Schizosaccharomyces pombe: one gene and its partner. The protein of the gene in region 1 binds, or shares a complex with, the protein of each later gene. Each region holds a gene or a part of one and is shown on either strand. Other genes may lie near its edges. The genes, in order: phf2 and lsd2.

Region 1 (4,415 bases):
TCTTCATTGGTGTAATACGAAAACTGAAGAACAGACTAGAGCTGCTTTGCAAAGCTGGCTGCCTAAGGAATTATGGTTTGAGCTGAACCATACACTTGTCGGTTTTGGGCAAACAATCTGTTTACCAAGAGGAAGGCGCTGTGATATGTGTACTTTATCTTCTAAGGGCTTGTGTCCTAGCGCCTTTAAAGAAAAAAGTGGCATCACAATAACTAAGAGAAAAGTCAAAACGATTAAAAGAGTCAAAAAAAGACCTGCTTCTGAGTCACCTCCTCTATCTCCACTCTCCCTTCCTACAGATGATTTGTATTACCAAAGCATCGAAGATAAATCACTTATAAAACTTGAGGACTTGGACCCTGTTGATAGTATATCACACATGAATGAACCTTTGAAAAAAGAACCAGCCGCTGATATTGATGTAGATCAGAAGCCACCTGTCGCATTCCATTCAACTACAAAAGAAACTAGGTCACTGCGCAGGTCAAAGCGAGTTGCAAAAAAATCATCCCAGTATTTCTCCCAACAAAGTTTACAAGATATTGAAGATCTGGTTTAATTTATTTTTAGGACCGTAAATTTTGGACAACATAAATCTGTTATTTATTTACATGAATTACTCAAAATTATTTATTCTTTACAACTCCGTCTTTAAACATATTCAAGAACCTTTTGCTACTGACTGTATAGTTATAATATCCTCTACCTTTACTTTTTAATAATTTTTTTAAATCTTGGAATAAATTGAAATCATTAATGTTGTTATACCCTTCAACAAACAATGCAGAATGTAAGATACTCGTTAAATACTACTAAGAACAATTGGAGTTTCGTCGAACATATAATAAGTACAAAAGTTTTCGGTTAAATCCTCTGTGTGAGGCGTATACAGCATCCAATCGATAGGAATGGGGCCGGTTATAGATATGTCAGGGCGCACTGATGGTCGATCGGCATCAAACGTTCTGTTCAGTTCATAGCTGCTACCCCTCGCATCACGTAAAACACGGTTTTTACGGACCAGTCTGTTTAAGCTTCGAGTTATGTTCGAATTTTTAATTTTTCTATTCGAGTATTTACTAGAATATTAGTAATTGACGATGTCAGGAAAATATATAGAAAACTTACGCTTGAATAGTGTTAGTGATAGTAGAAAAAGAAACAGCAGCAGGGAAAGATTCTAAAACTTGTAAAACTATTTCATCTTCATTGCTATATTCTTGTAAGTATTCATCTATGGTAGGAATTTTTTCACTCTCCATGTATTGCTTATCCACTTCAACTGGTTCGGTCGAAGGTAAGGACGTCGAATGCTTGGTTGTTTTCGATTGTGATTCTGTTCCATTATTTAGACTTAGATACTGATCTCCCGTTACAGGTTCATTCATAGTAGCTGTAAAGGCAGACCTTTTGCTTTGGAGCTCTTGGACAATAGTGGAAGTTTTAGGACTATAGAACGGGATGTCGGGATGTAATTGCTCACAGAATAATAGGATGTCAACCAGTTGGGAGATCGGAAGACTTAAAAGATAAGACTTTTTCTCTTCCGAAGACAGATTTAGTTCTCGTGCCGTAGTTCCAGTTACGAGAGGCGCTTGCTTTTTTCTCCTAATGCAATCATCACAAAACCATTCTCCATTGGGGGAATCTAAAAGTTCATCAGAAATATAGGGTTCATGACAAAGTTGATGGAATGGAGTGTTACAACCATCACAGAAAACGATGCGATTTTTTGGTGGAGATTGAAGTCGTTGACAAACCGAACATTTCATAGCTAATGCGACCACAGGTCGACGACCTGGGCCACGTCGTCTAGTAGGTAATTTTACAAGGGGATCGAAATGATTAGGGCGATGCACTTTTCTTCCTGATTTTGTTTTGACACCTTCCAAATTAAATTGCTCTTCCCTACCATCTTCAGTAGAAAAGAGGGCGTCAGCGGTGTTGTCACGTTCAATAGCCAAACTGGCAGGCCATGATCTTTTCCGAGCAATGTTCATAGCAATTGACATAGGAGGTAATGGCGATGAACTTGCAGGAACATTTGGGGGTAACGCAGATTTTGTTTGGGAATCAGCACTTCTATGATGCGCATAATTAGATGAAGATGCGTCTTCAGTGAAAGGTGCCTGTTCGCTTTTTGCATCGGTTTCCTGATTTTTACTAGATTCTATTTCTTTAGCAACATCATCATTTTTGTACGAACCGAAAGCACCTGACTCCTTGTTTGGCTCGTGAAAGTGTTGGAACTGATTTTCCAAATGCATGTTTGAATTCACGTTAGGATTTTGTATATCCTGAAAGGCTTGATCTATTAGCACAGAGCCTCCATTTTGATTAGATTCCTCCCCCTCAAACATCGTTGGATGCAAATCATTGGGAAATCGACGACTACCGTCGAATTGAAAAGGATATGATGCCGCTTCAAAAGAACCGCCATCGTCGTCATAGTACGATGAATTCGGCATTAGGTTTTAAATCATTCATATGCTCATGTAAAAAACAAATGAAAAAATGAAGCAAATGGCAAAAAATGCGAATGTGTAAGTTCAACACGCGTGTTTGGAATTTAGGTGAGATTTAACGCAACTTATAAATCGTTTGCTGCTGTTACTCCAATTATGTTTTGCTAGCGAAATGAGATTGATCATCACTATATCTCGCTTATTCACTTCTCACTACAACTCACTGTCTAGTCATATATAAATACTGCACGTATCCATGAAGAGCTGAAATCTCACATTTATTAGAGCTTTTTTATTTTTAATTTTGTTAAATTTAATTATTCATGCATTAACTAGTCATAGCTATAAATATGAATGAAAATTTGGTCTTTCCTTTGTTTATATTTCCTAGATGGCCTAACAGCTATAATTGATTGAACTTGTATGCTATTAAAGGCGATAAACAGACTTCTTTAGTACTTTGCTAAAGAAAATATAATTGCAATGATCCAATTACACTGGAAATACAGGTATAAAAAATCGTCACAGTTTGGAAACAAACAATGCTTTTTTTTCTGTGGCTGTTGTGTAGCTTTGCTAGTATCATAAACTCATTGTACACTAGCGCAAGACACACTATACAGTAGTTAGCGCGAGGTATTTTATTATTCTTTCCAACTTATTTGTAATGAAGTTCAAATAAACAATGGGTAATTTAGTACTACTAAAGTCCTTGCGTTATTTAAAAGGTTTTTGTTTGAAGTTAGTGGTATATATTTTGGAATCCTAAAGTTATTGTATCGCCTTTCACTGTCAATGTGGAATACTGCAAAGGCCGATACTCCTTCTTTCAAACTTAATTGTTTCACTTTCTTTTCTTTCCATTTCAACGCAATATTTTACAATTTTTTTTAATTTAAAAGAGAATTCTGATCATTGTCTAAACTAAACTCCTGGCAAAACTATCATTTGCGTTGCTTGTTTAGATCTGCATAGTGCCTGAACCACTTGACTTAACGAATGTACTACTACCATCGTTAAGTTACAATAAAAACATTATTTCCTTTTTCCCACCATTTTGCCTCTAATTATTGTTAAAAATTATTTATTTCATGAATTAATATTAAAATAACGTCCATTATGGAAAAGGAAAAGCTTACAAATAGGACCAGTACTCACAAATTCAATGAAACTGACAGAGAAACAAATCACTCTAGAAGGCATCGTCACCACCACTCTAGGCATCGTGAGAGCAAGCATGGACGACATGATCGCAGTGAAAGGCCAAGCTCTAGAGAAGCAGGTGACCGAAGTAGGCATGAAAGATTTAGTAAAGAGCCATTGGAGGTAAAGAAACTTCCTGTTGAAAATGAATACTTTGACTCCAAATTCGCTTCTGCTTCTTCCATGCCATCCTCCAAAGACAATCCACAGAATAATGACTTTACTAATTCATTGCAAGGTTTGGATTTTGGTACGTTCGGTTCGCGTATACAAAGAGAACCTATTGACCGAAAGTCCAATAAGCCTGGTGAAATTTTTGTTGGTGCAACATTACAGAATGAGAGTTCGACGAGTACAGAACATAAAGATATAGAACAGCTTGAAACCGAAATTAATGAGTCAGGAATTAATTACAAAATTGGTGATAATGGCTCTCGATGGCGTATGATGAAGCTCAAACGCGTATTTGACATGGCTCAAGACCAACGACGCCCCGTTGAAGAAGTAGCTCTGGAACGTTATGGTTCATTGAAAGAATTTGATTTTGCCTTGGAAGAAAGAGATGAGTTAGAGCTTCGAAAACGAACTCGAAAAGTTCAGAAAGAAGTTCCTACTGGCGAATTATATGAAAAACGATGTGCTGATGAATTTAAGACTAGAAAAGATTCTGGTAATGGCGCTACATACTACAAAGTAATACCTGACCCTTCTGTAAATAAAGATACTCCCACTGAAAGCGATTTGAAT
Region 2 (6,608 bases), 660 kb from region 1:
ATTTTCTGAAAGCTTGCCTACTGCTGAAGATCAAGTTCATAATAATCACTGTGCCGTATCGCCTTCCAGAAGAAGTTCATCCAATGCTCTGTATCTAGCTACTTTGCCAATGGGTTATGAACGATCTAATTCCGTATCATACTGTTCAGATTCAAGTCTTAGCTCCCCTTTGCCTGACGACAATATGCTACAAGATCCACACGCTTTGAACATGGCGTATGCTAAAGAATTCGATGTTCTTATCAATGAAGTCTTACAGTCTCTTTAATTATTTATAACAGACTTCCTGAATTACGAGTCTTTATAACAACCACTTTTTTTTTGACAATTGAGATGCCATCTCCTATTAACTTTTGGATAATGCTTTTAATTATACATGTCCAAATATGGACTGGAGTCAATAACTCGGCATTTTTATATTATTTTATTTTAATATCATATGCATCTTATGTTTTTTTTTTAACTATTTCGTTGTAGTACTTGCTTTGAGATACATAGTGTCCATGGTGTCTGCAACAAATACAACCGCATCTGTTTTGGCTTAATTTAATGATTCTTAGTTAATTTTAATTACTTTTTTTCTAATAACTTATTTTTTTATTTATTTCACAAGCGTACTAGTAATATCATTTGTTGCTTGAATATTATGTTAATGGCAAAATGGTAACATGCATTACATCCTAAAGAGTGAGAGTAGTAGCTGTGTTTACGATATCATCTTTTATCTCTTACATCTTCGGCATTAAATCAGGTTGGCTACTGGCTAACGAGAAGTGTACATGTATTTTAGATTTTCCTTAAACAATTTGCTGAAATTAGCAATTTGATAAAATGCTTCATTTAGGGCATGACGAGAATATATATGTACATAAAATTTTAAGGGTATTTGTAATGATGCGAAGTAACTAAACTTTTAAAAAACAATATGTGATTTGATTTTTTTTCTTTTAATATCGTGTTCCATTATAACCCGAATCAGAAGATCCATCGTCATGATACTCTTCGTCGCTAGCCTCTCGACTTTTGGAAATGTTGTCATCCTGAGTTTGTTTTCTTTGCTCTTCTTCTCGTTGAGCTTGCATAAACAATCTTGCTTCATCATCGGGAATAGGTTCATCTTGGCATTTGGCCGCATAATCATTTCGTATTTGCTCGGCTCTCATTTCATATTCTTTAGTTAGGCGCTGATAACGAAGAATTTTTCCAGCATAAGCTTCTCTTTGTGCTGCAATTTCATCAATCCAAGGTTTTTTACCTAAATCATCAAGCTGGCGCCAAGTTTTCCCTAGTTTGGCACGTGTTTCATTAATAGTAGCCTTCGCTGTACTATCTCCTGTTAACCTTCGCTTGTCTTCATCAGCAAGTGCACGGCATACATGCCACTGCATTTTTTGGTAAAGTAAAAAGGGATTTGCATTCGGCTTGGAAGGAGGTTCAGGTAAATAACCAAGAAGTTCAGTTACAAGCTGTTCCTGTTCTTCCTTATGCTCGTCAAGTCTTTCCTGCTTTTTCAACCTATATCTTGCCTGATAAGAAAGGTGACGCTGTGCTTCAGCATTGGGATCAAAATTATTAACTTTAGAGTTTCGCAAAAACTGATCCAATTCTTTGCGAGAGGTTTCTCCAATGATAGGTATGGTTAAGGAAATTGGAGCCAATGAATCAATAATCCCTGTACATACGGAAAGGCCAGATAAAAAGGATCTTTGTAATGTCCTACAGCCTACGCAACTGAATATATAGTCTCCAGCAATATGCAAGCGACCCAAATTATACGATAACTGACTTTGCCTAAATCTTTTTTCATATTGCTGCTTATCATTGGCAAAATTTGGATAAGAATTTAAGCCGTCATAGACACCATTTCTCGACCAGTTTGTGACCCAAGCATCTAATAAATCAGCTGAGCTGTTTGAATCATTTTGAAAATGATCTACTATTAGACTGTGTAATTCTTGAATTAAGTGGGAGGTCTCGTTAGAAGAAGAACTTGTCATTTGTGGATTGATATCCGCTACTAATATTGGGACACCAGTTTCAGGAAGCATATTCCATATTCTCAAAACAAAACAAGATTTACCATCATTCTCATCATTGTTCATTTCTTGACTTAATGATTTTGGTATAATACCAAATGATCTAATGTTCTTTCGCCAAAAAGCAGCTGCATAACGAAGAATAACCTGCTCAATGTTAACTTTATAATTGAAAAAAAAATAAATAAATAAAAACCTACCTTTTTTCCGGGTTTGAAATCTATACTTTTTATGTTTTCAGTCACGAAATTAGGAAGACCTGGTGAAAACTCTATATTTGAAGAAAAATGAGAAGGAGAGCAAGCAATTACAACTTGGTCAACCTCATAAGAAGAGTTGTCCTTACAATCAAGGGTACATTTATCATTTTCAATAGTTACCTTAGATACAAACTTCTCATAATGAATATTTAAGGGAGATGGATAAGATTGTAATGCCCATGGCAGTTGAGATAGACCTCTTCTAGCAACTTTTGGAATCAAAATATCTTTGGAGAAGTCTGTATCAACTGTGTTAAGAGGGTACAAAGTATCGTCCAATTCCGCGACCTTAAAACACCATATCAGAAATTTCTTTTGACTGTTCCCGAGTTTGGCATAAGAAGAAACTTCATCAATTAGTATTAGCATTGTTTTTTTGAAGGAAAATTCATGTGACGCATTTAATGAGAGTGATTTGGACAAATGATCAGGGAACATTTCATCTATAAACAACTGAAATTGGGATATCCAAGAAATACGAACAGATTCCTCAACGTTAATAAAAAAGCAAACAGAAACATATTCCAAAAGTTTTTCCCATAAAATGTTTAATTTTTTCACCTCAACCATGTCTAATACTTTAGTATCGGTCTCATCGTAAACTAAATCTGAGCCAGTCATCTCTGTAACTTCAATACCCAATTGTTTATTTAAAAGGTTAAGCAAAATATCGTCCATAGGCGAAAATAAAAATTGAAATCCCAAATCAATTGCTGAAGGAATATGGGACGGGTCAGTAACATCCTTGGGGTTTAAAGAAGTGGAATTACTAGAAATAGAATTCGAATTAGATGTATGATGGTTAATTTGGGTAGCCGAAGTATGAGAAACAGGCAATGCTCGAGAGTAAATACGACCTCCTGTCCTTTCTTTAGCTTCAAGTATAATAACTTTAGGAGGAAGCTCATTCTTTGACAAAAAAGATGAAGAATACTGAGAAAATAAGCCAGTAAGTTGTCTAGCACATATCAAACCAGTAAGACCAGCGCCTACTACAGCAATAGTCTTCTGCTTCGATGCAGAACTGGATGTTGTGCCAGTATTAGTTTCATTCGTAAAGGATGAATCAAAGGACAAGCATCCATAGTTTATATATCCATACCTTACAAGGAATTCATAAGCTAAAGAGGCTAATTGGAACAAACATCGATCGACACATACGCCCTGAGCTTCAACTCTGGATATGGCATGCGTAGGATTTTTAATCCAAAGCCAACAAATGCTGTTACGAATTTGGAAATAATGAAATAATACAACGGGATCGTGTAAACGATCAGAAAGCATGTGTTGTTCAAAACTTTCTAAGGCCCTCGGATCGAGATTGCATTTACGAGCTGCTTCAGCGGCATGCTCAAAAAACGACTTTAAAGAAGATGTAGGGATACTGGCTCCTGCAGATGGTATAGTATGAGATGATGATTGACTAGACCATTGTAGCAGTACTCTAGACGGCTCAATTGCAACAGAACCTTCAGGCCTAGCACCTAACTCTGAATCAAAAAGTGCAGGACTACTAATATTACCAGATGTAGCAGCTGAAGACATTAAAGGGAAAGATGAAGCAGGAGGCGATACAACTGCCGGTGCAGTAGTAGGTGGTATTGGCAAAACTGCGTTATCAACACTTTTAGATAATTCTGTTGCTGATACCAACTGTGTAGGCATAAAACTTTCATGATTGCGGAATGTAGATGGGGTAACTCCATGAGAAACTTGATCCCGATACATCGACAAAAGTTGCTGAGAAGATAAATGAGAAGCGTCTAATGGATACGGATAATTGGAAAAGGCATTTGAGTTTTGGTGTTGAATGGGGCCTGCATGAATTGCCGTTGAACCATCTCCACTGGAAGAAAGCGGGTTTTGTGATCGTGAAGGATATGTAGATGGAAATTGCTGAGAAGACGGAGAGTTTGCATCAAAAAAGTTTTCGTATGTGGATGACTTTTGTTGAGGAAAAGAGGAACCTACAGTTGGAGGTAATCCAATTGTTCTCATTCCAGACTGCTGAGCGACACCTGCATTTGAATTGCCTAAAAGATGCTGAGGAAATGGTTGATTAGCCGCTTGCGAAATTGTGTAAGGGTGAAAAGAGGAATCATATCTAGAAGGTAAAAATGCTGGATTATAGTTTCCCCATTGATTGTTCAGTGAGCTAACTGGCTGTGAATTTAAGCCGCCATCTGTACGATAAGTTGACCTTGAATACGCGTTCTGATTAACAGAATTAGGTGTGATAGACTGTAATCCACCTCCTAAAATAGCTAAAAGCGCTTGTTCACTACTCACCAATTGAGGTTGAGTTGAATTAACGTTGTTGGCGTTAGCATATGATGAAGCCCGGTCAGAATGATGCTCTGTCATTTCTGGAAAGTCATAATGACCATCTGGATCATTCTCGCTCGTGTTCATAGAGTAAAAAGATACAATCAAAGTGAACCGAGGTGGTAAAATCTCATTGAATCTCGATTTGGTGTTTACAAAGTACTTTGCGCAACATATCCTTAACGATTCGTTAAAAAAATATCGTTCTAAATATTATAGCATAATGGGATAACGACAAATATTATAAGCATTTTTATGTCAAGTCCAATCAATCATCTATCAGACTATCCAGAATTTATATTTTTCTTTTAGATAATACATGTGTCTTTAATTATTTGAATACCATGAAGAACGCCCGAGAGGCATTCAATTGCCTATTTATCTGATTCATATTGCGAGTATTATTCTACGATCGCATTTGCTCTCTTCTACAGGCTTAACACTTTGGAAATGATGAACGAAAAATGTGAAGTTCATTAATTTGTATTCATTTTCCAAATTATTGCATTAATGTGTTAGCTCTTTCATGCTAAAGACTACTACCTAAACTCGTTGATTTCAACTTGCAGAAAACAATATTACAATACACTTGAAAGTATAGTCAGCGGAGAATAGAACAAATGGAGTAAATTATTATAACAATCCAAAAATATGTTACATTGCTGTTAAGATTCAGAAAAGCTTAGGATGTTTAGAGTAGTAGTGTAGATTAACTGTTTATCAATATTATACTAAAACATCTCATTATGGTTCAAGTTCGCTATTGTTGAATTTTACAAAAAGTCTAGTCCCGCCGGGGATCGAACCCGGGACCTTCTCCGTGTGAAGGAGAAATCATACCACTAGAACACGGGACTGTTGGTTGTTAACAGAAAAACTAAATGATATATATCATAATTACATTATTATTGATTTAAATAGATTAAATAATGAATAGCGAAGTTATTTGAGCTGAAAATTAAGTGTAAGTTTTTTATATATGTGCTGTAATGAACAATTAAAATTTCAGCCTAATCATATAGTTTTAAAAGTCAAGCAATGACTTTTTGCGAATGAACTAATTAACCATGGATACTGCTTTTTACAAGCAACTCCATTTTCCGTTTTAAATAGTTGTATACAAATGTTTTTTCCCCCGAAAAATTGTAAAAATATATTAATGAATTGACAATTTCCAAATGAGTTTGCACTCGGGCAGTTTAAATATATTTAATATATTAACTATCTACATACCATATAAATCCGGTAGTATTATTTTTTCTCAATATCTGCTTTTTCGATGCGTATTAATATCATAAAAAATGCTCCACATAGGATTTCATTAAAAACATATATGTTAACTCTAAATTTAACGGTAAATCGCTAAGGACTGAATATTATTTTCCAGCTCTTAACGAATATAACACCGCAGACGGACTTGGCCAATACCAAAACTAACGCAAAACAAAAGACCAATAAGAATCATGTGAAGTATTTTACCCTAAACTCATAGTATACAATGTCATGCTTGTAAGTAATAGACAGCTAAACGGGATAATATCTAATTTGTTTACCATAAATAAATATGCCGCACGACAAACATGCCAATCAAGTTTATGTTTGAAGAGCTCCAGATGCAACAACAGCAGGGGTTGAGGATTTAATATGTTCAGAAGCCATATTTTCATTGTCAGAGGACCTCAGCCATTCATCTATTTGTTGAATGTGCTGATTTAAATTGTGCAACTCCTGAATCATTAAATCATGCTGAGAACGCAATTGCGAAAGAACATTCAAAGCATAATTGCGTTTATCTACATTTGATCCCTGAACTTCAGGAGGAAACTGCAAAGAAACCGGCGAGGTAGAGGATTGGATTAAAGGAGCTTGCTGAGATTGCGAAGGTGAAACTTCTGATTTCGGTCCATTTGACATTGATGGCTGCTTGTCGGAATTTGAGGGTGGCTCTTCGGGGTTAAGTAAGGAAGCAATTCCTTCAGCAATCCTT

Evidence for each region.
Region 2: phf2 (region 1) and lsd2 share a complex: the UniProt entries of both Schizosaccharomyces pombe proteins name them as parts of the SWM histone demethylase complex.

What each region holds. Positions count from the first base shown.
Region 1 is NC_003424.3:1,102,917-1,107,331, reverse strand, and holds phf2 (Lsd1/2 complex PHD finger domain-containing protein Phf2), read right to left. Parts: upstream 2,565-4,415; 5' UTR 2,469-2,564; coding exon 1,129-2,468; intron 1,080-1,128; coding exon 803-1,079; 3' UTR 724-802; downstream 1-723. Other genes in the region: nth1 (DNA endonuclease III), read left to right, coding at 1-559; protein Cwf19, read left to right, coding at 3,585-4,415. UniProt on the Schizosaccharomyces pombe protein: Component of the SWM histone demethylase complex that specifically demethylates H3K9me2, a specific tag for epigenetic transcriptional activation, thereby acting as a corepressor.
Region 2 is NC_003424.3:444,870-451,477, reverse strand, and holds lsd2 (putative histone demethylase SWIRM2), read right to left. Parts: upstream 4,709-6,608; coding exon 2,237-4,708; intron 2,184-2,236; coding exon 948-2,183; 3' UTR 752-947; downstream 1-751. Other genes in the region: meiosis specific arrestin family membrane adaptor Ste7, read left to right, coding at 1-268; Fe-sensing transcription factor Fep1, read right to left, coding at 6,215-6,608. UniProt on the Schizosaccharomyces pombe protein: Catalytic component of the SWM histone demethylase complex that specifically demethylates H3K9me2, a specific tag for epigenetic transcriptional activation, thereby acting as a corepressor.